Xenopus tropicalis: one gene and its partners. The protein of the gene in region 6 purifies or fractionates together with the protein of the main gene of each other region. This does not show direct contact. Links are inferred from orthologs where the notes say so. Each region holds a gene or a part of one and is shown on either strand. Other genes may lie near its edges. The genes, in order: exosc3, exosc5, zfc3h1, exosc6, exosc4, mphosph6 and exosc8.

Region 1 (4,623 bases), on a different chromosome or scaffold from region 6:
AATCTTAGTTTTAGATTGTCGCATTTAAACAATCGATATCCGAACGTTCGTTAGAGGAAGACTAAAATCTGAATGTGTATGGCCACCTTAAAGGGGAGCTATCACCCTAAGAAATAATTCCAAATTAGTTGAGCAAAATAAACTTGACTTACACTACAGTCTTGGAATTACAGAATCGCAGCAAGCAGTGTGTTTATGTGATAGAACAGTGCTGTCCAACTTCGGTGCTACCGAGGGCCGGAATTTTTCCGACCTACGTGGTGGAGGGCCGATAATGGAAGCCAGTTTTGACCACTCCCCTTTTTGAAACCGCACCCACTTGAAACCACACCCGTGTTATCACATGACCATACCCATATTAATGGTTGTAGTACAGCAAAAACCTGCCATACTCTGCCTTCCCTACCCTGCCTGTGTGTGCCATACTCTGCCTTCCCTACCCTGCCTGTGTGTGCCATATTCTGCCTTCCCTACCCAGCCTGCGTGTTCTATACTTTGACTGTGTGTGCCATTCTTGGCTGGTTTGTGCCATACTTGGCCTGTGTGTGCCATACTCTGCCTGCCCTACCCTGCCTGTGTGTGTGTGCCATACTCTGCCTACCCTATGCTGCCTGTGTGTGCCATACTCTGCTGCCCTATGCTGCCTGTGTGTGCCATACTCTGCTTGCCCTATGCTGTATGGCGCACACACAGGCAGCATACAGTGACACAATTCTGTCACTGCTCCTACAGTCTGCACAATAACTATATATTAAAAAAAAAAATTATTTGCAGTACCACCTCAGTATATGTTCTTTTTGTAGTGTGCAGGGATTATTTGTGGGTTTCTACTGCTCCTACAGTTTGAGGTGTGAACAGGGGAACAATGGGGGTGATTACAGCCTGAGGTGTGAACACTGCAGGGGGTGAACAATGCAGGGACTAAAAGGTGTGAACAACACAGGGGATTACATGTTTAAACAATACAGAGGGATTACAGCCTGAATATGACGTGAGAACCATGCAGGGGGCCAGTTAATCTCAGTACTGATACCATTTAAATCTTACACAAGAGTAAGCCATCAAAGCAGCCAGACAGGTGGGGGGCCACACAGAGGGGGGTCGCGGGCCGCCAGTTGGACAGCACTGTGATAGAACGTAGGACCAGATGCCTGGGAGGGGAAAAGTAAAAAAAGCAGCGAAATCTAGGAAGTGCTAAATGGAAAGTTATTGTCTGCCCCGCCTCTATGCCTAAGGCATAGAGGCGGGGCAGGCAATACATGATTGACAGCTGGGATTTTTAAATGCCTTTATAATATTAGGGCATGGATATGTTAATAAAAAACAGAATTTGGGTTTTATGTTTAATTGGAAAAGGACTTTTATTATACAGCTTTTTATGTCTGGATGACAGGTCCCCTTTAAGCCTCAAAAAACAATAACATGTAAACAAAGGTGACCCTTGTTTGGCAGATTCATCCATGTGGCAGTATTTTGTTTTTCTGAGGCTTAAGCTAGTTATACATGGGTTGATAAAGCTGGTGACTTGCCCACCCCAGTCTAATTCAGCAGCCTAAAGTCCTGCGTAAGGGGCCCTTGGGCAGACCCTGACAGATTAAAAAAGGCCATGGCATTTCAAGTACACAGAGGCTAAACAGTCCCCACACCAGCCCAATAAATAGTGAATGTCTATGGCATTTTACGGTAGCCCCTCTGGCATTTGCCAGAATCCACAGATTGCCAGTCCAGGCCTGCTCATAGGCATCAAGTAAGCTTGAGAATCATGTTGCATGTTGAATAGGTATACTATCATTGATGCAGTCCTTTTGGTAATCTAGCATTAAAGCCCTCTTTTCTCGCTTAAAGAAGAAGGAAAGGCTAAGTCACTTGGGGTTGCTAAAATTTTAAGCACCCCCAAGTGACTTGAATCGATTACCTCGTACGCCGGGCTGGTGCCCCTGTTAGGAGAAAACAGCACCAGGCCAGGGCACCTGGGGCGATGCGCTTCCTCCTTTCGGCTTCGTTAAGCTGCGACTCCGAGTCCGGCGCATGCGCAGTAGAGTGAAAAAGCCGCCTTCAGTTCGGCTTTTCACTCTACTGCGCATGCGCACGCGAAGGAGGAAGCGCTGCAGCTACCCCAGGCTGGTGCTGTTCTCTCCGTACAGGGGCACCAGCCCGGGGTAAAAGCGATTAAAGTCACTTGGGGGTGCCTAACATTTTGGCACCCCCAAGTGACTTAGCTTTTCCTTCTCCTTTAAAGTTATGTCAAGACCGCAAAGCTTATGTTAAATCAGTGATCGCCAACCAGTGGCTCCCGAACATGTTGCTCATCAACCCCTTGGATGTTTCTCCCAGTGGGCAGTCTTGAATTTCTGGCTTAAGTTGCATAAAACACAAATGAAGCCTCCTATAGGCGGCCAAATAGTTAATCGCAGCCCATATTTTCTGTTCAAAAGGGTAAAAAAAAAGTTGGTGATCCCTTTAGTAAATGAACGCTGCCCACCAGTTAATACTGCAGGAAAACAAAGGATAAATGACCATTTAATAACCAAATTGCATTAGGAGTTGGATTTTATAGGTGCTTCATAGGTGAGTAATGTGCTGCACATAAAAGTACTAGGAAAAAAGCAAGTATAATTGTGCCCTAGCACCGAGACCAGGCGTTCCCAACACACAGAAAGAGACCATTACCCGCTTTTGCTGAGAATCAACCCAGTAGATTGCCGGGTCCCTGTGCCGCAGGAGCCCACACTTATTCACTAGCAGATCATCCTCCTGCCGCATGAGCCCGGGGCCACACACAACCCGGGGCCTGTTAGATGTAGAGGGGCCGCTCAGAGACAGAGGAGCATCCCGGGACTGGGTAGAAAGAACAAGCACATCCCCAGGCAGAACGATCTGACCGACCGCATCTTCAATACTCACGGCTGACATGCTGCTATCAGAGCGGAAGTGCGTCTGCCTACTACACTTAGCACGTGACGGTAATACACCAATAGATTTGCAAGGAAGCAAGTACTGGAGAGCTGGGCAAGGGTTCGAAAAGCGATTCAATTCTACTCAATTCAATTCTTTTGTTCCGTATAGTGCAGTGTTCTGGCTGATCGCTAGATGGCGGCAGTGTTCTCTTTTTGTGTTTTCTTTTCCCAAATCGCTGCCAGTATTTATTTTTCTAACCTGGCCCAATAGTATTTAGGAAAGTGACTTGCAGTCTGTGCTGATCTAGTCATTGTCTTCTTATGCAATAAATAGTGACTTCAACCCACTTACAGTGTTAGAAATTGCCTGTTGGGTGACATATTTGTATGGAAAGGCAATGCTGCCATCAGAAATTATGGGCAAGTTTTTTTGTCTGCCACCTCTTCCCAAAATTATGTGCAATTATAAAATTCATACTATCTTTAAAAGTGCCTCGTTTATTGGAGCTCCCTATAGATCAGGGCCCCCCAACCTTTTTTACTAGTGAGCAACACAAGCGCAAAAAAAGCTCTTTGGGGATGCCAAATAAGGGCTGTGATTGGCTGTTTGGTAGCCACATGTAAACTGCTGGCCTGTAGGAGGCTCTGCTTGGAGTAAAATGTGTTTCTGTGCTTTCAAATCATGCCTCCAAGCCAGAAATTTAAAAATAGGCACCTACTTTGAGGTCACTGAACATCAAAAGGGGTGGTGAGCAACATGTTGCCCCCAAGCCACTGGTTGGGGACCACTGCTATAGATCCTGGCAGGTCCTTATCTGTTTACCTCAAATTCAGGCTGAAATCCCCTGCATTATTCATCAAAGTACAAGTTCAAATTCCAAATTGAGAAAAATTTGGATTAAATACAATAATTTCTGATGACAGCAAATATCACAAACATGCTTACAAAAAAATCGTATTAGTCACGATAATATCTTATTGGCGATCCGAAAGTCACAATTTTCGTATCTGAACGATCGTAAACAGCAGGAAAACCTTTCTGACATTGATCCTTCTGTGCATGATTTTGGAAGCCTCCAATAGGACTCAACGGCACTCTGCAGCTCCAACCTGGCCCAAGGAAAGTCTCCCATAGGGCTCAATGGCACTCTGCAGCTCCAACCTGGCCCAAGGAAAGTCTCCCATAGGGCTCAATGGCACTCTGCAGCTCCAACCTGGCCCAAGGAAAGTCTCCCATAGGGCTCAATGGCACTCTGCAGCTCCAACCTGGCCCAAGGAAAGTCTCCCATAGGGCTCAATGGCACTCTGCAGCTCCAACCTGGCCCAAGGAACGTCTCCCATAGGGCTCAATGGCACTCTGCAGCTCCAACCTGGCCCAAGGAAAGTCTCCCATAGGGCTCAATGGCACTCTGCAGTTCCAACCTGGCCCAAGGAACGTCACGATACCAAAGCTTGAGTGAATCCGAAAAGTTCGTACTCGGCGCAACAATACAATTTTGTCGCACAAATTTTGTCGCAAAGTACCAAAAAGTCGCAGAAAATACGCACAGTACAATCAAATACAAATTTTTTGTAATTCGTACCTGTCGTACTTTAATAAATAGGCCCCATAGTGTATCTAGCGTTTTTTTTCAGCAAGCTGAAAACCACTTGCCAAAAATACGCTACATCTGCTTAAAAATCCCCCTAACTCTGCCTGCACTCAAATGCATCGAATATGCTTGGG
Region 2 (4,533 bases), on a different chromosome or scaffold from region 6:
CTTCAGAAAAACAGAACATGTCTCTGATGGAAGCACCTACCAGGCAACCCAGTCTTGGGCCTGAGGATCACCTCTAATGTGGCTTTATTATGGATTTCTCTGCTGACCTTGATCTCTGCAGGGCCATATACTCCAGCCATTACAGATGTGTCGCCTACAGGAAAGCAACATGGAAATCAGTTGAACAGTTAGCCTTAAGGTGGCCATACACCTTACAATTACAATCTTTCCTGCAACCATTTGTCTCAGGAAAGATCGTTCCCACCCTCCACTGGCATTCAGAGTTGAATTGTCAGATATGGAGGTAGAAACAATAAGGATTCTACCTCCACCTGACAATTAAGCCCTAAACACAGATTTTGCTCGTATAAAAGTCTTCTGTCCCGCCCGTTCCACGAGGCGACATATCCGAAGCTTTTGTGATGTTCACCTCGTCGATCCACCATACACACAGTGAATATCGTATGAAACTAGGTGCATCGGTGCATGTATGTCAGCTTTAGTCACATAAAACTACAGTAGCCAGATTACTGCCTGTGTGATATATAAACGAACCTGAATTATGAGTTTTTACCTTTCTTTCTTCTTTAAAGCAATCTCAGCAGGGGCTCAAACACAGCCAATCATAATCACAGATGGCCGTAAGTTCCACTGTGGAAATGGAAAAATTGCCTTTTCAGGCAAAGGCAAAATGACAAGCACCATGGGGGTACTAGAAAAGAACAAGTTTGTGATTTGCTGCTTGTGCAACTTAAGTGAGGCAATGCATTCAATCTACCCATTTTATGCAGTGATCTTATGGTCATGTCTTTAGTTAATGGAGGCTTCTCTGGTTATTTATGCAGTGATTTTACTGGCATGTCTGGATTTTTTTTTTTGGTTTTAGTTTTAATTTTATGATCATGGTATTTTGGGTGTGGTAAAATGTGGGTGCAGTCATACCATGGCAGTTAACTGTGTCCCTCTTTGTAGTTTTCAAATGGCGGGAGGAGCATGGCAGTTAATTGTGTCCCTCTTTCGAGTTTTCAAATGGTGATAGGTATAAAAAGGTGGTGAGTAAAACTGTACACAAGGTGGATAAAGTGATAGGTCTTGATCAATGCAGCTTGGTAGAACAGAGTTGCAGAGAGTTTGGTGTGAATTCTAAGCCACCATGATATACCTGCTTGATATCTAGGTCAATGTGCTTACACCCTTTAGTTTCTTTTTTCCGAATTAATCTATTTTTGTGTGACTGGAGAACTGCATTAAAAATTATACTGCATTAAAAATTATTAACTGGTCAAAATGCTATAAACCACCTAAACATGGTACTGGATTGCTACTTTGTAAGGATAGCTCACATTTTTTGTTGAAACTCATTTCTAATCTTTATTCTAAAATTGAATATGGTGCAGAGCCTAGGAGCCCAAAACTACAAGCCCCTATAGCTATAATACACAAGATTTTCTTTACCAACATTGATCAGTGATGTAATTTGTATAATTTACTGACTAAAACCTCCTCTGTTGTAAAATATGTGGATATTAGAAGCCACCTCAGAGTTCAATGACCTGTATTAAACCACTTGGCCTTTGGTTCTGTGCCTGTATATGGTCATGGCACTCTAAGGAGACTTCCAATACCCTTATATTTTTTAATATGGTGTATATTCCCTATATTTTGGTTTATTTAAATGCGTACACACAGGTATCATAATCACAGTGCTGTACATGACCGTTTATAGCTCTAGAGTAAGAGTATGGTCAGTCTGTCCCCAATTCAATTTGGTGTCCAATATTTTAAAGGACCTTTTCCTAAATAAATATATATGTATTTGTACAAATGAATTGTAATTTTAAGCAGTGTTATAATATGCAGGAATTAAACATGTTAAATGTTTTTTTTTAAGTAATTTCTAAATAAAATTCCAAGAGCAGTTTGTCTGCCTTTGCTATTATTTGCTACCAGACTATAGAAATAATTAAATAAAAAATGTCTCTCCTCACCACCACCTCAGTTCCTACAAATTTGCCTTGTACTATTCTTTTATTTTACTTTGCAGCTGATAATGGCAGAACAAGCAAGGCATTGTGAGATTTGGAGTAGTTAAAGGAACAGTAACACCAAAAAATGAAAGTGTATAAAAGTAATTACAATATAATGTACTGTTGCCCTATATTGCTACAACTGGTGTGTTTGCCTCAGAAAGACTACTATAGTTTATATAAGTTAGCTGCTGTGTAGCTATGGGGGCAGCCATTCAAAGGAGAAAAGGCACAGGTTACTTAACAGATAACAGATAAACCCCCATTATATGGGGCTTATCTACTAGTTATCGGCTACGTAACCTGTGCCTTTTCTCCTTTTTTCCAGCTTGAATGGCTGCCCCCGTGGCTACACAGCAGCTTATTTATATTGTAGCTTTTCTGTAGCAAAAACACCAGTTTTTTGCAGAGCAACAGCACATTATATTTTAATTACTTTAAAACACTTTCATTTTTTGATGTTACTGTTCCTTTAAGAGTAGCTGGGGAAACCAGGAGAGAGTTGCAATAAACAGGCTGAAACTTTTTTCTCAGTAACAATTGTATCAATTTTAAAATCATGAACATTTTTTATTATCCTATATTGGAAAATTGCTTAATTTACAAGTTTGCAGTTCAGCAACCACCTACTTTAGACAAATACAACACATACATTCCCCATTGCTGTCCTCTGCATTATGACAACATGGAAGAGCTGTTCCATTAAATGAGAATAACGGCCACTGGATTTACAATTCAATTTCCATCCAATGATTTAGCCGCAAAACATTTTACGCTTCCCTTCAATATGTATCCCTTGATATCCTCGTATTCCACATAAGATTTGAGGAATTATAGGCGCGCCAAAACTAACCCTGAAGAAACGTAGCGGATCCATCGGGACGGCTCAGCAAACTCTGCTCACACCCGTATTCCCGCAATACAGAACCTACAGCCTCCATCAGAACCTTCTTTCCACATGTGCAAACACTTCCGGGGTCCTTGGGGTCTGGCAACCGCCACACTTGCCTGTATAATTATACACAACAATGCCAAAGCCTTTTTTCCCAGGGAATAATAGGAAATACGCAATTCTCGCAATTTCTCACTTCAGAGGTTATTTTTGACAAGCTGTTGAATAGGGGTCCTAAGAGAAATGTAGGCAGTGGGATAGCATTCCGAAGCAAGATGGCGGCGCTGAGGGCACTTCTAAGGGTCCGGACTGTGGCAGGAGGGTGGAGAGGCGCCGGTGGGAGACAGGTGAGAGGAGTACAGGGGTCGCGTTGGTGTGAGTGAAACAGACGATAATCAGATGGAAGGGGAGTTTAAATGTTTTATTTCTAAATGCGAGACCCTGGTCTTGTATACTGAGAAGTATACACATCTTGTACCATAAGGTACATCGCATCTAAAATACTAGTATGCCTGTCTGACGTATATACATGGGAACTACAAGAACTGTTTGAATTGGGAGATGTGTTTTAAAAGTTATATGCTATAATAAACGTGGGTTATAGTTACAGTTCAGAATTATGTAAAAATATGTGATATTGCTGACTAGATTTGTAAGGAGTCAAATTTACATTTGAATTTACAGCTTATATAGTATATACATTTATATGCTTTAGCCTTAAATAACAGGTTGGTTGATTGTCTGTCCATAAACCAGCTGGTGACAACATTGTTTCAGCTATATAAATAGGAAGAATATGTTTGTATACATACTCCCAAAATGCACACACATATTTCCAGGTATATATTTGTATAGTGCTACTTGTATACACAGCCCTGTACATATCTATATATAAGTATTTGTATAAAATTGCCTGTGCTTTTGATCAGCAGTTCTGGGACTGGAATATTATAGGTTGGAGTATTATAGAAGCAACATTCTAGTAATATTCCTAGTTCTGTACTGTACCACAGTTATTGCTTACACTGTATTGGATTCTCTGTGTTTTTGCATACGGGAAAGAATATATATTTTCAAGGTGTTCTAACTTTTTTTTCATGGTGCAGTGTAAAATGTTTTTAGAAAACATAATTATTTGCAGATACTTGTAGCCTAAATTGTGCTTTTAGTTATGTGATTTAACGGGCAAGACCAAGGTGTTACGCATTAAAGATGTGTGATGCTCTGGTGGGAAAAAAAAATATGGAACCCCCTCCCCCAGCACTATACCATACATTTTGGAGCTGGATTATAATACAATGATAATGTCATGGACAGAAATCAGAGGAGCACTTTGGCCTGTAGGGGAACATAACCTCTTGAAGAGCCCCGTGGTCTGGAGCAAAACTAGATGGTTTTAATTATTACTTATTCTTGCATATTAAATAACTATTACTACAGTTTAATTAGGATATGCCTAGTATTTGTCTGATTTAACAGCTAATGTGCCATAGATTCTGTTTTGGACAGCATTGAAAGGGTTAAAGGACAGAAATATGTAAACCGGAAGGATGACACTTGAAATAAAGGCCAAATAAAAGGTTTTATCCTTAATACTAGGTGTCAAATGGAGGA
Region 3 (3,297 bases), on a different chromosome or scaffold from region 6:
GCTTGTGTGTGCCATACTTCACCTGTCACAGGCAGCACAGGGCAGGCAAACCTTGCAGGGGTTTGTTCTGGAGGTTTTTTAGCATTTGGAAATAGTCATTATACGGTCCCTAATGTGTGTAATTATGTGCTGGGGGTTGCTGTGCTATCCACAGGGGAGGAGGAGGCGGCGTATGGATTTAAGGGTGTGTCTTAATGACATAATACAATTCTTTCACATATGAATGAAAAGTGAGCACCAACCATTTGGGTTTTTGCTGTGCTACCACCCCATTAATGTGGGTATGGTCTTTAAAGCTCTTGTGATAACATGGGTGTGGTCTGAAGCGGGTGCAGTTTAAAAAAAAAACAAAAAAAAAACAGGAGTGGTCAAGTCTGGCTTCCATTATCGGCCCTCCACCATGTAGGCCAGAAAAATTCTAGCCCTCTGAACCACAGAAGCTGGACAGCACTGCCTTAGACTGTTTGCTTTTTCCTCCACAGTTTATTGCATTTAATATTAAAGCAACTTGCAACCATTTTTTTTTTACCAGACATACTGTAAATTTCTATCATCAACTATTACAATCATGATCCACCCTATTAAAATCATAAATACATTAGTAACGTATTCAAGTAAGAGGAGTAAAATACCCACAGGTATGGTTATTTACTTGCTGGGTATTTGGCCGGCTATATATTGGGGTCTATTTGTATTCAGTCATGTACTTCAAGCCATGTTCTTTTAGTCAAAAGCCAAGAATACTCCATATCTTTGGTTTTGACTTTTACAGCATAACATCACACAAACATCACATGACCATGAATTTCAAAGCAGAGACTGGAATGAGCTGGTATAAAACTAAAAGGATTAGTGCAGAAGTGTCACATGCCTATGAATTAACCACACCTTATATGTAAACACAAAAAAAACCACGCACCACAACTTTTTTTTTTTTTTTTAAGTAGTTATATTTAAAATATTGTATAAACAGTTTTAATACTACACACGGTAGTATTATAATACAAAACATTTTCATTATATACTGTACTTTAAACTGTTAAACTTTATTATAAATTAAACTTGACAAAGAAAATAATTGCACATTGTAATTGACCACTCTTCAGTTCTGATGCACTAGCATTTGCAATATCTTCAAGTTTAACAGTCTCAGCTGAGTCCAAAATGTAGAAATGTGAAACAAAATAAAATAAATAGGGATGGGGAAAAAAACAACCCTCAAGTGCAATTAGCAGACGGACGGCCTTAGCAGAGAGGTTTCGCTTCCGACCTGCTGCTCTTTACTTTATCTACAATGATAGTAATGTATGTTTAATATCCCGCCCTTGTTGTTTTTAAAATGTGAACTGACCAAATTCTGAATCATTTTGAATGAGAGACTGATTGCTCTTGTAGTGTAAACAGCAGGCTCTGTAATTTACACCAGACACAGGGGTCTCACAGGCATCAGTGAGAGAGAGTCAAGCAAGTTAGGAACAGCACAACAAAAGGGGTTTTTTCAAAATAAATGGATGGGGTAGGGAGGAGAATAAACACAGACAGAAACAATAAAACAGCAGTCACTGATGAACTATACTTACGTATATGATGCAAAGAATCTTGTTGGGCCCAGAAGCAGGCCGAATTCATTTCTCCAGTTTGAACATGGCAGTATCTATATTCTGGGTTACCATAACACCCTTGAGCCGTGGCAGTACTGCCTTGCAAACACTTGGGATGCTAATCCTTATCAATCTGGCATTTAAAAATAAGACTTTGGCCTGACTGCACATTGTTCAGCGACTCCTGCTTTCTGTGTTTATATTTAAGAGCTCATCTAGGCTGACTCCAACCTCTTGGCACTTGGAAACTAGTTTTCTCAGGTTATCTGTTTTACCTCCTCCTGATGCTTCAAACAAGAGTTGCTGAAAAAGAGGGGGATGCAATATATTATTAACACTTAATTTGAAATTCACCTCATTATTGGACATGGCAAAGAACCTCCCCCCCATAACCAAAAACAAAGAACAAGCAAAGACATTACATCTTTCCATAGGGCAGCACATAGAGGCATCTTCTGCAGGGCTCTTTGATAGAGATGGTGGACCTGTAAAATATAGTGCATTTCAGAGATATATATATATATATATATATATATACCCACACACACACTTAGATCTAATGAATATATACTATGGGGTGATGGACTTTTAAAATGATTATAAAGCAACATAGTTTTTTTGTTTATATGAGTTTATAGCTTAATCAATTTAGGGTGTCAAAACCTTTTTCCCCCAGTAATTGTTAGGGTGCCAAAGCAATTTAAAAGTAAAACATACAGGTGAATAGCTTGTAGCACAGACTTGTTAACGCCAGAGTGAGAAAATATCATGAGATCAAGGAGAATTCACTTTTAGCCTTGATCATATCCTATTGTCAATGGTTAGTCCATGAGTCTTGCCTCCTTGCTAGGCAGTACCCTGAGTTTTCATATTCTCCAAGTAGATTAAGACAAAGTGATTGTCATCTACTTCAAAGTCCTGAAACAGGCAAGCTGCTTCTTTAGGATGCAGAAACAAATCATCTCACCTCTTTGGGTTCTTTTAGAAAAGTTTCCACAGCAATGGCTCTATTAATAAAAGAAAATAAACACATCAAGGGGTTTGTGCGAGTGTCTGAGCATTTCTTTAATGACATTTCATTTTGTAAATTAACTGCTGGGAAGGAAAACATAGCAGAAGGGTAACCATAAAACTGTATGAATAGACTTTCCCGTTATTCTTGAAGATGTTAGGCAATTGCCCCACTGTCTGAGAAACATTCAGAAATCAACAGCATGATACATACTTGCACTCTTCCCACACAAACAGTTTAGAGATCATTACCTGCATGCTAAATAGTTAATGAAGAACAACAAAACAAGGAATTTGTACATTACATTTTCCAGATGGGCAGGCACATTGGGAAATTATATGTAAACATCTTGGATTGCATTTTCACATTCTCATTATTGTTCTCCTCCAATTCTTGTTTTAGTACCCTGAAAAGGTAAATGACAATTGGTTGTGCCAAAAATATTATAGCACTGAACACACTTAATAAGTTGGCCTACTTGCCAAAAAGGAAAACAGAATCTAGAATAAATTAATGGTGATAAAGATACAGAATTATTTATACAGTTCAGGTAAATATGTTCCGCTTATGGTAGCTATGTAAACGGAATAACTGAAATTGCAACGCAAAGTTAAGTACTGATCTGTAAGTTAGGGCTAGCGCCCACAAAGAATGAACTATAACCAGAGAAGAAAGATACCATAA
Region 4 (4,569 bases), about 11 Mb from region 6:
TATGTAGTGTTCCTTTCCATCACAATGTGTAAAAACTAAAACAAACCAGATTTCATATAGAAGCCTTTAATGTTTTATGGTAATGCCAAGTGCATAGTTTGTTTTTAAAAAAAACGCCTATGATCATCTACAGCAGGGAAAAAAGCCTAAGGCTGTCTATAGAAAATAATTTTGCCCCATGAAAATGGAGTTTTAAACAGAAACCAGGTGGAGATTCCCTTTTAAGGAAATAAGTGACAGTAGCTGGTACAGTAAGTTCCCAGTAAAGGGATATTCTAAATGCCATAGTAAACTGAAATCAGTGTTATTTCTGTCTTTAGAGAGCAGCTGTTAAAGCAGATTGACTGGCAAACAAGTTCTGTATAGATACTATACGCCTTTCACATTCAACATGAATACAGAGCTATAATTTTCAGCTGACCATATACAGAATATAACACTTCAACAATACATTTGATCAGCCAGCGATGGTGGCTTTGTCTTCGGGTGGTCCCGATCCACTATAGAGCAGAAAGTAGACATTGCCTGCTTTGCAGCACTATTAGTTTGCCTTAGAAAGGAGAGCTGCACCCAAAGCTACGAGGATCAGTTTGTGTCAGGCTGTGGCACTGGTATTTTCCTTTTAGTGGCTTTCACTAGGCACTGGTGCAAAACTGGGTACAATCTCTGGCAGCCTTCCATGCAGAGTCTAACCGCTTCCTCCGAGCTCTCGCCTTCCCACTCTCCACTGCTAATAAGTCCAGAAACCTGTGGGTACAAGAAAACATGACTGTCATTAGGAGTTCATTCCTGTAGATTTGTAAGCAAAACTAAATATTAGCCCCCTTGCTGAAAATGTGCATATAGTACAGCAATAAGATATTACATGAAATTGTTTTCAGCAAAAAAACCTCCTTTGCATTATGTCCTATACCATTTGTTGGCTATTTAATGGAAAATAAAAATGATGTCATTGGGAATGTTATGCCCCCACTCATTACAATTACTAATCTTAAACCCCAGGCTGGAGTTCCTTTTCAACACATAACACACTATTTCTGCCAGCACTGTAATGTTCTTTAAGTCCCCAGTCTCACACAGTGGTCCATGGGAGCCTTTCATAACATGGCGGCAAAGCACTGGCAGAGCTATACTCTTTTCTGTGTCAACTTTCTTTTCCACCTTAAGTTACCCAATAACATTTCTCAAATAATGCCAAAACCTAGTAACACCCAGAGATTCCCAGCAGTTTGAATTTTTTCTCCCATTTTAATGCCTGGCAGGAAAATGTCTATTTGGCAGAATGTTTAGCTGCTTTGAGAAGCTGAACACTAAGTCCAAAGCCCAATATTAAAACAATGTATATTATAAGCAATCTAAAATCGTTACACTGGAAAGACCATCATCACCAGCGCAAATACGTGATTCCAAGAGCTGCTTCATATTAGCGTACATGGATCCAGATTTCTCTAATGCTCCCAAAGTCTATTTTTTTTAAGTCACTATGTAACAGTTTCATTCAATTTAGGCTGACAGGTTAGGCTACACTGTGCCATTAACCCACTGCTCTACAGGCTGCAAGGCGAACAGCAGTGGCTACGACTCTTCTATGCACTTTTTCAATGTACACTATTTTTAAATTCTCTTTAGTTTACATACCAGCAGTTTTACACTTTATATATAATGATATTGTTGAACAGCAGCCTATGAGCTGCAATGGAGCCTGACCAGAAAGGTACGGATAACAGCCCTCTCAGATCAATGGCATGGCACCCACCCAATGAGCAGCAAATCTTGATGGAGGTAATTGCTTAGTATAGCATTGCCCTAGGGCACTGGCACGTGGGAAGATTAGTCGCCTGTGATACATCTTTGCAATCGAGTGAGACTAATCTTCTCGAAATGCCTTGCCACCAGCAAGAATGTGAATCCCCAGTGGGTTGGCAAATTTGCTGCATCAGTTTTCCTAAGTTGCCAGAAGTTTTCTGGAGAGGCAAATGTGAAGGAGCTGCTGAAGAGAGAAGGCACAATGTAGACAGATGGTGGAATCTTAATAGATGTATCATGTAAACTAAAGAAAACAAAGAATAAGTATAAAGCGTGAATGGGGCTCTGAGCTAATATACTTTCAATTTGTTAGGGGTTAATAGCTGTACTAGTAGGATGAGGGAAAGCAAGGAGTGCAGAGCTGGTGTGTCCCACAGTAACCCCCACATGCCCAAGCACTAAGCCCCTATCTGCCCCTACACCAGAAGTGGCACACAGGCCGCTGACCTGATTAAGGGTTGGCAAGAGGCTCAGGCTCATGGTGCCCCCACTCCCAGCCTCCTCTTCATCATCATCCGGATCCAGCAGAAGCTCCCCACCGGGGCCGCGGCTTAGCCCACATCCGAGCGCCAGGTCAAACATCTCTATCCCAGCATCGGCCAAAGCCAGCGAGGCACAAGACACGGCCGCAGGCAGCGCAGAGCCGCGATCCTCCAGCACTAGGACCCACACTATCACCTCCGCTCGGGGGTAGCGATCCAATCGCACGGCCGGTTCCAGACTTTCCTGTAGTTGCAGCCCGGCCTGGCGGGGAGAGGGCCCAGCGGGGCAAGAGCCAGACCAGGGTCCGCGGCGGGAGAAGGGAGCCCAGCGCAGGTCACAGAGCAGGCGGCCCCGGGTCTCTGCTCTCTCCCCTCCCATCCCGCGCTCCCGCGGCCCATGAACTGCGCACAGCACTTTAGTGCCGCCACTCCCGGCCTCCAGGTACGCGGAGCCTTTAGCCTGGCTCAGGAGGCCGGCCCTGACAAACACCGGCCGGGGCTCTGACGGACCGCGGCCCCTTCTCCCTGCGGCTTTTCCTCCTTCTTCACTCAGTACATAGAGCAAAGGGGACTGCGACTCTTCGGGGCCACGAATACGGCGGCTGTCTCCCGGCATGGCTATGCACTGGGTGATACTATCCTACAACGTGTTTCCTCCCACCGTGAGCACGGACAGGCCTAATGCGCCGAAACACCGCCGCACAGTGGCCACTCGATGAATTTTATCCTCTGTGCCTGGAACGGGCCTTTACTAGCACAGGGGTGCCCAGACACTTTGTCACCCTGTGATCTACTATTGGGTATGAAACTGTTCAATGCACCCCTGACTTTCATATTTAGGGTGTTTTATCTGGTTACCTTATGACCTAGCAGTAGATATGATGCTATAGAATGGAAGATTTGAAGCAATTTTTCAAAAAATGTCACAAATTTTTAGAAAAAAATTATAAATTTAGGAAAGCATTGCAACTTAATAGTTTGGAGTAGACAGACAGTTTTACTTATTCTGGATTCGCCAGAATCTGTTCTTTCCAGAAATGCATAGGTTTCTAGGGTAAACCTTCTGTTAGTGGAATTTTTGGCCTTAATGTGTGCAGCTTTCTGGAGCAGTGCTTTGGAAATATGGTAGTGTACTGCTGGGAGTTTTTGACCTATACAAGTGAGAAATCTCCATAAAACTATATATATTTGGTATTGGCACGTTCAGGAGACATGGGACTTTCCAAATCAGTTGTATTTATGTGCATAAAATAATTTATGTTTCTGATATATGTGTTTCTATTACATACCCTGCTGCTGGCTGCAGCGGATCGCTCCGGCTCCGTCTCTTCTTGGGCTCCTGCTCCTTATTCGGCTCCTCGTACGGTGGCGACAGGTCCTTTTATAAGGTTGCGCCCGTGCGTACGTGTGACGTCACACGTATGCACGGGCGCAACCTTATAAAAGGTCCTGTCTCCGCTGTACGAGGAGCCGAATAAGGAGCAGGAGCCCAAGAAGTCTATGGGGGCCGCTATGTATGGGGGCATTTTCTTTTGGAGGTACTCACTATGGGGGCAATTGGGGGGCTCTGTGTATGGGGGGGGCATTGTATGGGGGGACACTGTGTAAGGAGGGCTACTGTGTATGGGGGGGCACTGTGTATGGGGGGGCACTGTGTATGGGGGGGCACTGTGTATGGGGGGCTCTGTGTATCGGGGGGCTCTGTGTATGGGGGGCACTGTGTATGGGGGGCTCTGTGTATGGGGGGGCTCTGTGTATGGGGGGGCACTGTGTATGGGGGGCTCTGTGTATGGGGTGGCTCTGTGTAAGGAGGGCTACTGTGTATGGGGGGACACTGTGTAAGGAGGGCTACTGTGTATGGGGGGACACTGTGTAAGGAGGGCTACTGTGTATGGGGGGCACTGTGTATGGGGGTGCTGTCTATTGGGCCATCGTGGGCACTATTTTAAATATTTTAAAAATGGGGTGTGGCCACAAAGTGGGCGTGGTCAAAAAATTGGAGGGGCACTGTGTATGGGGGGCTCTGTGAATGGGGGGCTCTGTGTAAGGAAGGCTACTGTGTAAGGAGGGCTACTGTGTATGGGGGGGGCACTGTGTAAGGAGGGCTACTGTGTATGGGGGGCACTGTGTATGGGGGGCACTGTGTATGGGGGGGCTCTGTGTAAGGAGGGCTACTGTGTATGGGGGGCACTGTGTATGGGGGGGCACTATGTATGTGGGGGCTCTATGTATGGGGGGGCTCTGTGTATGGGGGAGCTCTGTGTATGGGGGGGCTCTATGT
Region 5 (4,669 bases), on a different chromosome or scaffold from region 6:
GGCATCCATCACCCGCTCCAGGTGATCCTCGTGCAGCCGCGAGTTCATCTCCAGCAGCGCAATCTGATCCGACTTGGGGAGGAGGGCCAGGGCGAGTTGGGGCCCTCCGGCGGCTTCTTCCACGTAGCTGAGATCCGCGAGGGGCGTGTCCTCGATGAAGCCCGCCGAGCTGGCGCACACGTAGTCGCGCATGGGAATGCCGGCGTCGATCACGGCCAGGGTGGCGGCATTCACACATGTGCAGTAGTTGCCCCCGTCTGCTTGCAGGATCTGGGCAGGGAGAGTCATGTGATCATATCCAGCGCAGCACAACACGGGAGCCAGTATGGCAGCACCAAGATACCACATACATGCACCACTGAGATATCCCCACATAGTGACTCCCAGGAACTACTCTTGGTGGCCAGGGGGATGCTGGGAATTTTAGTACAGCCCAAGGGCCACAGATTGGGGACCACTGACTAAAGGATTTGGGGGGTTCACCTTTAAGTTAACTTTTAGTACGTTATAGAATGGCCAATTCTAAGCAACTTTTCAATTGGTCTTCATTATTTATATTTTTTATAGTTTTTTATCTATTTCCCTTCTTCTTCTGACTCTTTGCAGCTTTCAAATGGGGGTCACTGACCCCGGCAGCCAAACCCTATTGCTCTGTGAGGCTCCAGTTTTATAGTTATTGTTACTTTTTATTCCTTATCTTTCTATTCGGCCCCTCCCCTATTCATATACCAGTCTCTCATTCAAACCACTCCCTGGTCGATAAGGTAATTTGGATCCTAGCAACCAGATAGCTGCTGAACAAGTGAAACAACTAAAAAACTACAAATATAAAAATGAAGACCAATTGCAAATTGCCTCAGAATATCACTCTCATACTAACAGTTTAACTCAAAGGTGAACCTCCCCTTTAAGGTCAATTTAAAGTGAAACAGCCCCTATTTAAGCCCCGCACTATTGTTACAACTTGCCGATGCCCCACCCACTGGCTGATGCCCCTCCCACTCACCTGCACGTAGATATCTATCTGTGAGCGCGGGTACAACTGGGTGAGGATGGCGGCCTCGAACGTCTGCTTTAGGTGCAGGGTCATCTCGCTGGACTTGCGGTCCCCGTGGGGGCGGCGCTTCCTCTCGCCGGTGCTGAAGGTCGCCATACTGTACTGGCAGTTCACCACTGAGCGGTCGTGGAGCATTTTACTGCGAGAGCCGCGGATCTGTGGGCACAGCGTTACGGGCACCGTTACACATGGAACTGGGGTATGGGGGCGGGACTAGCAGTGGGCACAGGCAGCCGTGTGTAGGCAGGGTAAGTATCCCAGCAGCAACCACTTACCCACCCCCATACTGTGCCAACCCCTTACCCACCCACCCCCATACTGTGCCAACCCCTTACCCACCCCCATACTGTGCCAACCCCTTACCCACCCCCATACTGTGCCACCCCTTACCCACCCCCATACTGTGCCAACCCCCCCCATTATCCCACCCCCTACTACTGTGCCACCCCCTTACACCCCCCCCATACTTGCCAACCCCTTACCCACCCCCATACTTGCCTACCCCTTACCCACCCCCATACTTTGCCTACCCCTTACCCACCCCCATACTGTGCCAACCCCTTACCCACCCCCATACTTTGCCTACCCCTTACCCACCCCCATACTGTGCCAACCCCTTACCCACCCCCATACTGTGCCAACCCCTTACCCACCCCATACTGTGCCAACCCCTTACCCACCCCCATACTGTGCCACCCCCTTACCCACCCCCATACCCACCCACCCCCATACTGTGCCACCCCCTTACCCACCCCCCATACTGTGCCAACCCCTTACCCACCCCCATACTTTGCCTACCCCTTACCCACCCCCATACTTTGCCTACCCCTTACCCACCCCCATACTTTGCCTACCCCTTACCCACCCCCATACTGTGCCAACCCCTTACCCACCCCCATACTGTGCCTACCCCTTACCCACCCCCATACTGTGCCAACCCCTTACCCACCCCCATACTGTGCCAACCCCTTACCCACCCCCATACTGTACCAACCCCTACCCACCCCATACTGTACCAACCCCTTACCCACCCCCATACTGTGCCAACCCCTTACCCACCCACCCCCATACTGTGCCAACCCCTTACCCACCCCCACTGTGCCACCCACTTACCCACCCCCATACTGTGCCAACCCCTTACCCACCCCCATACTGTGCCACCCACTTACCCACCCCCATACTGTGCCAACCCCTTACCCACCCCCATACTGTGCCAACCCCTTACCCACCCCCATACTGTGCCAACCCCTTACCCACCCCCATACTGTGCCACCCCCTTACCCACCCCCATACTGTGCCAACCCCTTACCCACCCCCATACTGTGCCACCCACTTACCCACCCCCATACTGTGCCAACCCCTTACCCACCCCCATACTGTGCCAACCCCTTACCCACCCCCATACTGTGCCAACCCCTTACCCACCCCCATACTGTGCCAACCCCTTACCCACCCCCATACTGTGCCACCCACTTACCCACCCCCATACTGTGCCACCCACTTACCCACCCCCATACTGTGCCACCCACTTACCCACCCCCATACCCACCCACCCCCATACTGTGCCAACCCCTTACCCACCCCCATACTGTGCCAACCCCTTACCCACCCCCATACTGTGCCACCCACTTACCCACCCCCATACTGTGCCACCCACTTACCCACCCAAGTAACCCAGCGGTCTCTCCCCTATAGTAATGCCTCTGAGCCATTCAGCCCGTCCGTGTGGCCCCAGCACTCACCTCATGGGGCCCATATACCACAGCCAGGGCCTTGGTGTTCCCCTGCTCGATATAAGCGGAGCCATCGGCCTGAGCGAACACTCCCATCCTGGCCCGTATCTTGCGCAGCTCCCCGGCTTTCCTGCCATCCACCCGGTAGCCCTGGTCCGACAGCAGCTCCAGCCCCGCCATCCCGCACCACGTTCTCACGGTATAAACTACAACTCCCAGAAACCACCGCGCCGCCACTTTCCGTTCCTCTTTCCGGAAGTGTCTGGGTGCCCGCCTCCACGTCACATAAAGGGGCGGTGCCAAAGTGATAGTTACTTCGTGTAGTAGAATTGCGCTTTTACCTCAGTTCGTTACAAGTGGCGCTAATTCCTATTGCTGGTCCCTATGGCGCTATTGTGCGGCCCAGTTGGGCTCTGAGCCATGTTTCCTATTTCACACTGTTATTTTCCCATGTTACTGAGCAGAAACTGTATATATATATATATTATGTTCCCCTGTCACTGTGCAGCCTACTCACCTATGGGTTTTCCCCATAGTAACCAGGAAAGGAACATTCCACTGAGCATTTACATTTTCCCTTTCACTGTAGATTCATAGTACTGACACTGTTACACAGCAAATAATTCCCTCTGCCATTTAACCTTTTATTCTTCAACCAACAAATGTATTTGTAGCTGTAATATTGGCGTGTAGGCGCCATCTCAGTGCCTTGTGCCTGAGTCTGAGCTTTCAGCCAGCGCTACACATTAGAACTGCTTTCAGCTAACCTATTGTTTCCCCTACTCCCATGTAACTGGGGGAGTCCCAAGCCGGACTTGGATTTCTTACTATTGAGTGCTATTCTGATACCTACTGGGAGCTGCTATCTTGCTCCCTTCCCATTGTTCTGCTGATCGGCTGCTGGGGGTGAGGGGGGGGGATATCACTCCAACTTGCAGCGCAGCAGTAAAGTGTGCCTGAGTCTGAGCTTTCAGCCAGCGCTACACATTAGAACTGCTTCCAGCTAACCTATTGTTTCTCCTACTCCCATGTAACTGGAGGAGTCCCAAGCCGGACTTGGATTTCTTACTATTGAGTGTTATTCTGATACCTACTGGGAGCTGCTATCTTGCTCCCTTCCCATTGTTCTGCTGATCGGCTGCTGGGGGGGAGGGGGGGATATCACTCCAACTTGCAGCGCAGCAGTAAAGTGTGCCTGAGTCTGAGCTTTCAGCCAGCGCTACCCATTAGAACTGCTTTCAGCTAACCTATTGTTTCTCCTACTCCCATGTAACTGGAGGAGTCCCAAGCCGGACTTGGATTTCTTACTATTGAGTGCTATTCTGATACCTACTGGGAGCTGCTATCTTGCTCCCTTCCCATTGTTCTGCTGATCGGCTGCTGGGGGTGAGGGGGGGGGATATCACTCCAACTTGCAGCGCAGCAGTAAAGTGAAACTGAAGTTTATTAGGGCTCAGGTCACATGGCTGTGGCACCCTGGGAAATGAAGAATATGGCTAGCCCCATGGGAAAAACAGATTACAATGCAGGATTCAGCGGGAGACGCTCTATTAACTGATGGGTTTTGAAAAAACATGTTTTCCCATGACATTATTGCTTTAATAGGAACAGTTCTGGGCTCCATCTGTTTGGGCTACTTTAGAGTCATTGGCTTTAGAGTCCTACATTGCAGATGTTTAGAGCTTGTGAAAGGTGCAGTGGCTACAAGTTGAGTGGGAAGAAGGGGTTAATAAACTGTGTGCTGAGCGCTCAGCTCCTTTCCGTGCCTCTGGCCACGCCTCCTGCCTTGGTGCCTGAGGGATCCAGTAAAACGAGTTTCGATTCTTTGTGACTCGGAGGAACTTTCCATTCTTTCTCCTTGTTCCACGATGGCGGCGGC
Region 6 (4,218 bases):
AACTGCATCACACTGGCATGCTACGCTAGGAGATGTTATATGTGTAAGGAGGCAGCTTTCAAGAGCCTAAATACAAACCATGGAAAAAAGTACAGGTAATAAAAACAGTATTTCTCCAGCTACAGGGTCTGCTTACTCTATACTATATAGTTATGCCAGTGCATAAACCAGATATATATATATATATATATATATATATAAAAAACACTACTTAATCTAACTTCTAAATATTCTAATTTTGAAATAGGAGAGGTTTATATAAAGGTATTGGGTGAATACCTCCACTGAATTGCTTAAAAAAAAAAAAAATTAAGCACTGGTGCATTGTGTATGTAACCGAAATTTGTATCTGACTAAAGGAACAAACACAAGCGAGACTCTTTTAGAAAAATATATTTAATTAGCAGAGATGAATTCATATTTGAACAGACCAGATATCATTTACATCACTTGTAAAGCTATAAAGACCTGTTTTTCTGCATCAAAAATATAGTTCCTGAAAGTGTATTTCTGCATAATGCACCAGTGGCAAAATTCCTGTATTTGCAGGGCTACAGAAGTATGAAAACACAGACCACCTAAGGAGCACTAAGCAGATGGGTTGCGCCAAACTCCAGTAAGGAACAAAAGGGGAAACCTGGCTTCTGGTGACCCATAGGCAGTCTGGTCTATGTTCAGGCAGTATCCGTGAAAATACAGCTCAAGGAAATGGAAAAATGTTTATCATTAAGAAATACACTTTTTGTTTATTCCACCGTCATTTTTTTTTTATAGGAGAATACTGAAAACCACAGTTCATTTCTTTTTTTTTTTTTTTAAACAACATGCTATTGAAACACTTCTTTCATAATGAATGACTGAGCACTTAGAGAAAACAACCGAACAATGAAAAAGGTCAGCCCTAAAGCTGTACATTTCTGAATTCCTAACTGCAGAAATGTCATTGCTTTCTCCTCTTGCACAATGCTTAAATATATATCAAAGTACTTTGGAAACAAATTTGTAGAATATTAGGTACAAAAGAAAAAATTTAAAAAAGAAACAAAACAAAAAAAACTGCTCCTGTTTTACATAAATTACAAGAAATACAGATAAAACATAAAACAAGGTAAGCAATCATAATATAAAATAAACAGGATAAAATGTTCACTCAAATAAAAACCCAGAGATCATACTCTCTTACAGCACTGAAACAAGAGCATTTCACCAGCAACTTTTCGAGACCTCAGCCAGTGCATTTATGCAACATTTAGTTACCCTGGCCTATATCAATTCATTTTTTACTTTGAGCAGTGCACAACAGTGCCAGTTCAGGACTTGGGTGATGCATTTAAAACATTTAACAGATGATACTTAGATCCATAAAAAAAAAAAAAAACATACTGTAATGGATGCTTTTTTGGGGGTAGTTTAATTCCACCTATGTAGTCTTTCTAGCCTTTAAATCAATTTTTGTCTTTCTAGTGGAAAAAATGACTTCTCATTATGACAGGTGGAATTAAAATGATAAAAGGAATCTTTTCACTACCACAGGAAAAAAAAGAAATTCCTTACATGAATGCAAAGATCTTAAAACAAAAACATATTATCCTCAAATATAGTTATGCACATAATTAATATAATCAATGGCTGATATGTTTTAGAATGCAGTCTCTAAAATGTATACCATCAAAAGTAGCAAGTTGTTAAAACTTTAAAATGAATGATATGAAGGTAGAAATATAAAATATCCATCGTGTGGAAAGGTAGAAAAACCACTAGTCTTCCATAACAATAACAAACAGAAGTTTTCCAGACAGTTAAACCTGTAGCTATTTAATCTTGTGGCTTTAGAAAAACTTTTTGTACTTTGCTGCTTCTAATGTTACAGTTTTCATCTTCTCCTTCTTCCTTTAGTTCTTTCTGATTCCTTTTTTTCGTAAATTTCTTTTTGATGGTGCCCACTAATGACTCGTATCTGAAAATAGGTAGAATAAGAATTACTTTTACTCATTAGGACTCCATGGTAGTTTATGTTAAGGCTTCCCACTGATGATACAATTCCAGCTTTAGACAAAATTAAAGGCACTAAATGACAGTAAAGGAATAGTAAAAAGATACAGGCTTTTTTGGTTCACTCTCCTTTTAATAAAGGTCTGCTGCAAGGCTAGAAGTATGTTTATTGGACAGATTTTTAACCTGCTATAACTTTCTAGCTATTAAGATTTGGAAAAATGCAACTTTTTGCCTAACATACTAAAATGTTTGGGAGTATTACAAGGAAGCTACCACACAAACACATTCTAATACTTGCTACAGAGGGTGTTAATGTAAAACAATTATCCCTCACACATGAATAACAGTAAAGTGAATCCAAAGACTTCTATGCTACATTCACTGAAACTAGAGAAGGTGAATAGCCATTTATATTCACAATACAGTTGATACACTATTCCTTACAGAGTTGCCTTCTTTACCACTCCCTACAGAACTACAAATTAACCTAAAAAGAATGATTATTGTAATAATTCAAGAGATATGATAATTTCAAATAAAGGTGGAAACTAGGGGTAAAACAAACAAGTATGACTTTTAGCAATTTTTTGCACCATTTCTGGAAGTTTCACTTTGGAGTGGGGAGGTATAATAAAAAAATCTGATGGGAGACTAAATATTTTCCCTTTGTCAGTCAATTGCAGAGCTACTAGGGGTAGTTGACCCTAAAGTTAACTTTTAGTATATTACAGAAGGGACAATATTCTTAGCACCCATGTTTTATATATTTTGAATAATTTCATTTCTTTTGACTTTCCAGCTTTTAAATGGGGGTCACTGACCCCAGCAACAATACACTATTGCTCTGTAAGGCTACAATTTTATTGTTACTTTTCATGAGTTAAGTTTCTGTTCAGGTCCTCTGCTATTTATACTCCAGTTCCTCATTCAAACCATTGCCTGTTTGCTATGTTAATTTGGACACTGCCAACCAAATAGCTGGTGAAATTTCAAACCGGAGAGCTTCTAAACAAAATGCTAAGACATTTAAAAAAAAAAAAAAATCACAAATAAAACAAAAAGACCAACTGCAAACTGCCTTGTATCATTACTACATTCTCCTTACAGTTAATTTAAAGGTGAACAACCCCTTTACCTAAATGCACAATTTTTTAGTACTAAGGAGACCTGTTGTTCTGAACGTTTACTTAAATTAGTTATCCAGTAATTGTACCATGTTACTTAGTTCCCCTTCTTAAAGGAGACATATAGGATAAATGGTAAAAACCCTAATTTTGTAGGCAATATACGGTGCTGGTTTCCCTTTGGGCTAAAAATTAATCCTCTCTGTAACAATGGCCCCTTTATTGGAGCTCCCTATAGATTCTATAACTTCTCCATCGGAGTTTGAAATGAAGAGTGGGCGTGTCCTAACAGTCCCTGCCAAAAGCACAGTAGGAGGGGGGATAGCCAATCACAGCCCTGCACTCACACAAGCACAGACAGGCTTCCCAGCTCATCCAGAGAATTCAGCTAGCAGGAAGTGGAACAGATGGGGCGGGGCTAGTGGGGTTTTGGTGGAATTTCTCAATAAATCAGCAGGAAACACAACTTTTTAAAGCACAATCCTTCTATATCTAGAGGAGTATAATTCACTGGTACATTTATAATTTTTATAGGATATGTCTCCTTTAAACGGTCTACAGCCAACATGGCAAAATCTCTCCCTACCCTTGTTTGAGGTCAAAACACTAAAAGAGATCTCACCTTCGTGCCATTTCTTCATCAGACACATCAACATCCATTGTTCCTTCCTCAACTATCTCTTCTGTCTTTGTCCTTGAATTCAGCTGGGTCATTAATTTCTAAAACAGTAATGCAAGACATTATAGATCGGTTCTATTGTACAAAGTTTTTTATTGTTCCTAGGAATATATTTACAAATTGTTATATGCGATTGAAATGGTAAATAATGGTGGAGCTGGTTAATGGGCATGTTTGCAGATATTTTTGATTTTTTAGAATAACAAACATAACATTCACAAAAACTAAACTAAAAAGCACTGCCATTTTAATCATCAGAACAGTCCAACAGTATGGTATAAGCCTTGGCAGAAAAAAGTTATGTATGCACAACAGATGCTAAAGAACAGCAGAAATTGGAACAAACTCAACCTAATAAAATTTACAAACCTCAACCTCAGTGTTAAAACCTTTGAAGGACATTCTGCCATACAGGAAATC
Region 7 (4,026 bases), on a different chromosome or scaffold from region 6:
GTTCTCCTTTAATGTGGTGAACTGTGTATTTACTACAAGCTACATATGTTGTGGTGCTAAATATTGCACATTAATGTAAGGGCACATCCTAAAGTGAAATCAAAAGTGTCCTTTCCTAGACCAGGCCATTCTGGTGGGAGTGGATAGGGAAAAAAACATGAGGCAAAATGATCAAACAGCGAAGCTTGAACTCGCCACAGTCTGTAGCATCACAGAGTGGAATTCCACCACTATCGATTTATGTCTCTGGGATGTCTCAAGCTCTAGCTGTTCAGGATCCCATTCTTTATAATGCAATCTGCAGCTCCCAAGGTGTCACTGCACTATAATCCCAAGCAACCCATGACAGCTTTTGGCCTACTGGTGGATGCTAAAAGTGGTTGTTGGAGCCCATGCCAATATAATGTGTATTTTGCCTTATGATACTCTCCCACTGCTGCAGTCAATACAAATATTTACAGCAAAACGAGGGTTTCTCTTCTTATGCACTGCTTGCAACTGCCACCCTGCAGGTCCCTGTGTGGAGCCTCTGCTTGGGCCTCATTTAAGGCACCCTACCTAGGAACAAACATGTTCTGTTGGTAGAATATACATTCCAGCAGTTGTGCAACGAAGGCCCACAATTGGAGCTGCCTGTCCCTTCTGGGCCCCATGGAATGTTATTAAGCACTATACACAGAAGATGGTCTGTAGAAAGCTTTCCATTTATTCTGGAGGATAAAACAGTTTGTCCTTAGTCAGCAGTTATTTTATTATTTGCCTGTTTATAGGCATTATGAAATATTTATGGACATTTCAGTAGGATTTGCGGTTGATGAACTCACGTTGCTCTTGAATGTCACAAAATTGACTATTATTAGTATCTAATGGTGCCTGTGCCAATGTTATTGGTTTCCCTCTGCAGTAAGATTGCCATCTGTTAAAATAAACGAGGAGACTGGTTTAGCAGAAGTCAATTTGAAAACAAAACATGCTCTGAAAATCCTGAAACACCCCGTTGCAACATCATTTGCAGTATTTGATGAGTAAGTATTTGAAGTCCTTTGCTAAAGCTAGTGAGGCTTGGGGCTATAGGGCAGTGATGTTCTGAGTAAGTGATGAGACCCTCTACCGTTTTTTTATATGAGTTTTCACTGGAGACACCAGCTCAGAAGCTTGTGAGAGGATTGGGGGTGGGCACTGGGGAAGTTGAAGCCTGGTCAGCCATTGGCGCCAGAAAGCCTGGGGGAGAAAGTCAAGCAGCCTGACATGGGGGCCACCAACCCTGCCTGTTATCATGAGTGACAGGGCGTGCAGAGCAGTATTGGGGCACAGGTTGGATAAATGGGTTTTAACTGTGGTGACCACAGATTGCCTTGTGTTTGATGTCAACAGGTCAATAAAGGTCTGTTTTTTTTTTTTTGTTTAAGCTCTGTATACAGTTATATGTTTTTGTCCATACAGACAAGATAGGCATACGTGAACACTACATTCACTTTAACGTAATAACAATAACACTTCAATGGGACCTTCACTTCTGGGAACATCATTAAAGGTGCAAGTCCCTTCAGCTTCAGAGCTGATTACGGACAGGCCTTGTGATAAGCAGAATCACTAGTGTATTAGTATTCTCATGGGGATCTCTACTTTAAAATAGTTCTATAAAATATAATAATGGCTCCCTATACAGTATGCTGGTCCCATCTTGTGACCGATTAATCACAGAGGTAGGTGTCGGAGGCTGAGGGTTTGATCTTGTGTGAGGAATGCTTACTCTCCATCACCAAACCTATTGCACTGTCCCAGATTACGCATATAAGTGTGTTATTTTCTTTCCTAGCACATTCCTTCTGGTGGATCCCACAGGGGAAGAGGAGGGCTTGGCCAGCGGACTACTCACTGTTGTGACTGATGAAGATGAAAGGTTATGTGCCACTCGAAAACCAGGTACATCTACAGGCGATGAAGAACAATGGCTGCTTTGCTTTATAACCAGCTGATGCCACTGGGACAGTTCTCTCCCAACCATATGTAAAACAGGACATACATTGTAAACCCTGTATGAACTTAGAGAGATGCTTGTTAATAAGAGCGAATGTGTTTGTTTGTTTGTTTTGTTTTTGTTACTACACCCATGGTTTGTTGGGCAAGTCATATTTTTCCTGATGCCTTGGAGTACAGCAAGAAAAAAAAAATCTTGAGGGATAGGTAGATAATTAAACCTTTAACCTTTCCTCTGTAAGTGTAGCTTGCCACAGATGCAACCTAAATGAAGAGTGTTCACCCAGCTTGGCCTTCAGGCAATATCTGAATTAATCCTATGCAATTTATAAAAGGGCAGTACAGCTCATTTTCCAGCATCAGCGCAATGTTAGTGCTAAATATACTTTTTACCTGTTGTTTCAATTAAGAAATATCTATGTTATTATTTATGCTCTAAACAGAACAAAATCTGAACCTGAAAGTCACATTCTCCTTCCTGGTTTTGTACAAACAGTCAAAACAAATCATTAGTCTATTGAGAAGCCTCTGTATAATGAGATACTCCTATTTAAAAGCCAATCTAGTCTGCAGCTTAGGAGAAAGAAGGCTTTTTAAAACTACCTTTTCAGAACCAGGAAGTAATTGTGACTTTTTTTACTTTTAGTCTTTGTCCTGTTTAGTGCAAGAAATAAAAACAATTCCAATGTAAATATAAGACTAATTTCCCCACACTTTTAGAACTAAGATTATCGGATGTGCAACAAGGCTCCTTGTGTGTTCTGTGGTTTCACTGTAACCAAAAATAAAGTCCTGGAATCATTGTGGCTTGCCCCACTGAAATATTCTGCAGTGCAGTGAATAGGAAGGTCAGTGGTTAGGCCATAAGCCAGCAATTCTCCCTTGGTAAAGCTTCTTGATCAGGCTGCTCACTAGGTGCCGGGGTGTTTTGTTAAGGGGCACAAATTTGAGGGATGAACTGTGTGTCCCAAAAATTGATTTAGTAACATTTTTTTTTTATTAACCATTTTCTATTGCAGATGAAAGTTGACTGTAATTAGGGGGGGTAATCGTGGCCCACCTTAAACATTGGAACCCATATCCTGACCTATAGATTACATTTCTATGTGCTTCAGCTTTGTTTCTTACCTTTTGAGTGAAAACAGACATTTAAGAAATACCATTTTTTTGTTTGTGTATCTCTTGGGGAAGAGTGATGCATTCTTGTTAAAAAAAGGGGGAATTTTCATGTTAATCTGTAATATATTAACTTTTTTTTTTTTACGCAAAGGTGGGAGTGCCCTTGCAGCAGAGAAGCTCCAGGAGTGCATCAGTCGAGCCATCACGAGACACAAAGAGGTGACGAACCTTCTGCAAGAGGCGCTGGCCAGTGTCAAGTCAGAATAAGTAGGCATATTCATTTTAAAAATGACCATGTAAAAAGTTGTATTTGTTACAGTGATTGCACACCTTTTGTACTAAATAAACATTACCATGGCTACATTTACTCGCTACAGTTCTGTCTCTATGGGTGCAGCGTCTCAGTCTCCTCCTCACATGGATGCAAGTTAAAAATCTTTCCCCCCCCCCCCACCAGGTTTGTGAAGGCCCCCAGACCACTAATAATGTATGTCCATTTTAATGCACATATAAGTCAGACATCTCTTCACAAAGCTCGTTTGCAAGTATTCGTGTAAGAATAATTTAAAACAGTTTTAAAAAAATAGTAATTGGAAGGCAATAGTCGGTTAATAATTCTGCTCAAAGGTGTGATATGGAGTTCAAGGCTCAGGGTTTTGCGTCAAATCCGGCACTGCCCCTCCTTTTACTTCTTGATTGGCTGTCGGAATGAGGCAGGGGCGGGAACTGGGCTGCTTGTGCTGCTGTTGCCATAGCCATTTGATGATGCAAGAATTGCAACTGTCAATGCAAGGTGGAGACAAAGGGTTAAAGCCATTTCAACATATGTTAAAGCTGTACACCGTGCTAGGGTTTTACTGCTCACCTTACTGAGAGTGAGGCTCGTAGCTCAAGCAGGTTTGCATGGAATTTAGGCAGTACACCAAT

The links.
Region 1: the proteins of mphosph6 (region 6) and exosc3 purify together in Homo sapiens (affinity purification with mass spectrometry; 6 studies listed by BioGRID and IntAct, counting the BioPlex papers as one, with this or other methods). This does not show direct contact. The link is inferred for Xenopus tropicalis from reciprocal best matches to the Homo sapiens genes MPHOSPH6 and EXOSC3.
Region 2: the proteins of mphosph6 (region 6) and exosc5 purify together in Homo sapiens (affinity purification with mass spectrometry; 6 studies listed by BioGRID and IntAct, with this or other methods). This does not show direct contact. The link is inferred for Xenopus tropicalis from reciprocal best matches to the Homo sapiens genes MPHOSPH6 and EXOSC5.
Region 3: the proteins of mphosph6 (region 6) and zfc3h1 purify together in Homo sapiens (affinity purification with mass spectrometry; 3 studies listed by BioGRID and IntAct, with this or other methods). This does not show direct contact. The link is inferred for Xenopus tropicalis from reciprocal best matches to the Homo sapiens genes MPHOSPH6 and ZFC3H1.
Region 4: the proteins of mphosph6 (region 6) and exosc6 purify together in Homo sapiens (affinity purification with mass spectrometry; 3 studies listed by BioGRID and IntAct, with this or other methods). This does not show direct contact. The link is inferred for Xenopus tropicalis from reciprocal best matches to the Homo sapiens genes MPHOSPH6 and EXOSC6.
Region 5: the proteins of mphosph6 (region 6) and exosc4 purify together in Homo sapiens (affinity purification with mass spectrometry; 7 studies listed by BioGRID and IntAct, with this or other methods). This does not show direct contact. The link is inferred for Xenopus tropicalis from reciprocal best matches to the Homo sapiens genes MPHOSPH6 and EXOSC4.
Region 7: the proteins of mphosph6 (region 6) and exosc8 purify together in Homo sapiens (affinity purification with mass spectrometry; 4 studies listed by BioGRID and IntAct, counting the BioPlex papers as one, with this or other methods). This does not show direct contact. The link is inferred for Xenopus tropicalis from reciprocal best matches to the Homo sapiens genes MPHOSPH6 and EXOSC8.

Annotation. Positions count from the first base shown.
Region 1 is NC_030677.2:113,707,634-113,712,256, forward strand, and holds the start of exosc3 (exosome complex component RRP40), read right to left. Parts: upstream 3,006-4,623; 5' UTR 2,914-3,005; coding exon 2,671-2,913; intron 1-2,670. UniProt on the Homo sapiens protein: Non-catalytic component of the RNA exosome complex which has 3'->5' exoribonuclease activity and participates in a multitude of cellular RNA processing and degradation events.
Region 2 is NC_030684.2:79,502,010-79,506,542, forward strand, and holds the start of exosc5 (exosome complex component RRP46), read right to left. Parts: upstream 2,999-4,533; 5' UTR 2,969-2,998; coding exon 2,881-2,968; intron 155-2,880; coding exon 41-154; intron 1-40. Other genes in the region: bckdha (2-oxoisovalerate dehydrogenase subunit alpha, mitochondrial), read left to right, coding at 3,195-3,266. UniProt on the Homo sapiens protein: Non-catalytic component of the RNA exosome complex which has 3'->5' exoribonuclease activity and participates in a multitude of cellular RNA processing and degradation events.
Region 3 is NC_030679.2:59,899,826-59,903,122, forward strand, and holds the end of zfc3h1 (zinc finger C3H1 domain-containing protein), read right to left. Parts: intron 3,020-3,297; coding exon 2,918-3,019; intron 2,609-2,917; coding exon 2,569-2,608; intron 2,087-2,568; coding exon 2,024-2,086; intron 1,905-2,023; coding exon 1,776-1,904; 3' UTR 945-1,775; downstream 1-944. UniProt on the Homo sapiens protein: Subunit of the trimeric poly(A) tail exosome targeting (PAXT) complex, a complex that directs a subset of long and polyadenylated poly(A) RNAs for exosomal degradation. The RNA exosome is fundamental for the degradation of RNA in eukaryotic nuclei.
Region 4 is NC_030680.2:74,926,201-74,930,769, reverse strand, and holds exosc6 (exosome complex component MTR3), read right to left. Parts: upstream 2,928-4,569; 5' UTR 2,905-2,927; coding exon 2,254-2,904; intron 748-2,253; coding exon 586-747; 3' UTR 61-585; downstream 1-60. Other genes in the region: aars1 (alanine--tRNA ligase, cytoplasmic), read left to right, coding at 3,004-3,088. UniProt on the Homo sapiens protein: Non-catalytic component of the RNA exosome complex which has 3'->5' exoribonuclease activity and participates in a multitude of cellular RNA processing and degradation events.
Region 5 is NC_030682.2:151,308,818-151,313,486, forward strand, and holds the start of exosc4 (exosome complex component RRP41), read right to left. Parts: upstream 2,975-4,669; 5' UTR 2,971-2,974; coding exon 2,800-2,970; intron 1,214-2,799; coding exon 1,007-1,213; intron 271-1,006; coding exon 1-270. Other genes in the region: E3 ubiquitin-protein ligase TRIM7, read left to right, coding at 4,659-4,669. UniProt on the Homo sapiens protein: Non-catalytic component of the RNA exosome complex which has 3'->5' exoribonuclease activity and participates in a multitude of cellular RNA processing and degradation events.
Region 6 is NC_030680.2:63,902,303-63,906,520, reverse strand, and holds the end of mphosph6 (M-phase phosphoprotein 6), read right to left. Parts: coding exon 4,168-4,218; intron 3,840-4,167; coding exon 3,742-3,839; intron 1,958-3,741; coding exon 1,816-1,957; 3' UTR 803-1,815; downstream 1-802. UniProt on the Homo sapiens protein: RNA-binding protein that associates with the RNA exosome complex. Involved in the 3'-processing of the 7S pre-RNA to the mature 5.8S rRNA and play a role in recruiting the RNA exosome complex to pre-rRNA; this function may include C1D.
Region 7 is NC_030678.2:151,674,837-151,678,862, reverse strand, and holds the end of exosc8 (exosome complex component RRP43), read left to right. Parts: intron 1-904; coding exon 905-1,025; intron 1,026-1,819; coding exon 1,820-1,926; intron 1,927-3,250; coding exon 3,251-3,366; 3' UTR 3,367-3,462; downstream 3,463-4,026. Other genes in the region: supt20h (transcription factor SPT20 homolog), read right to left, coding at 3,748-3,879. UniProt on the Homo sapiens protein: Non-catalytic component of the RNA exosome complex which has 3'->5' exoribonuclease activity and participates in a multitude of cellular RNA processing and degradation events.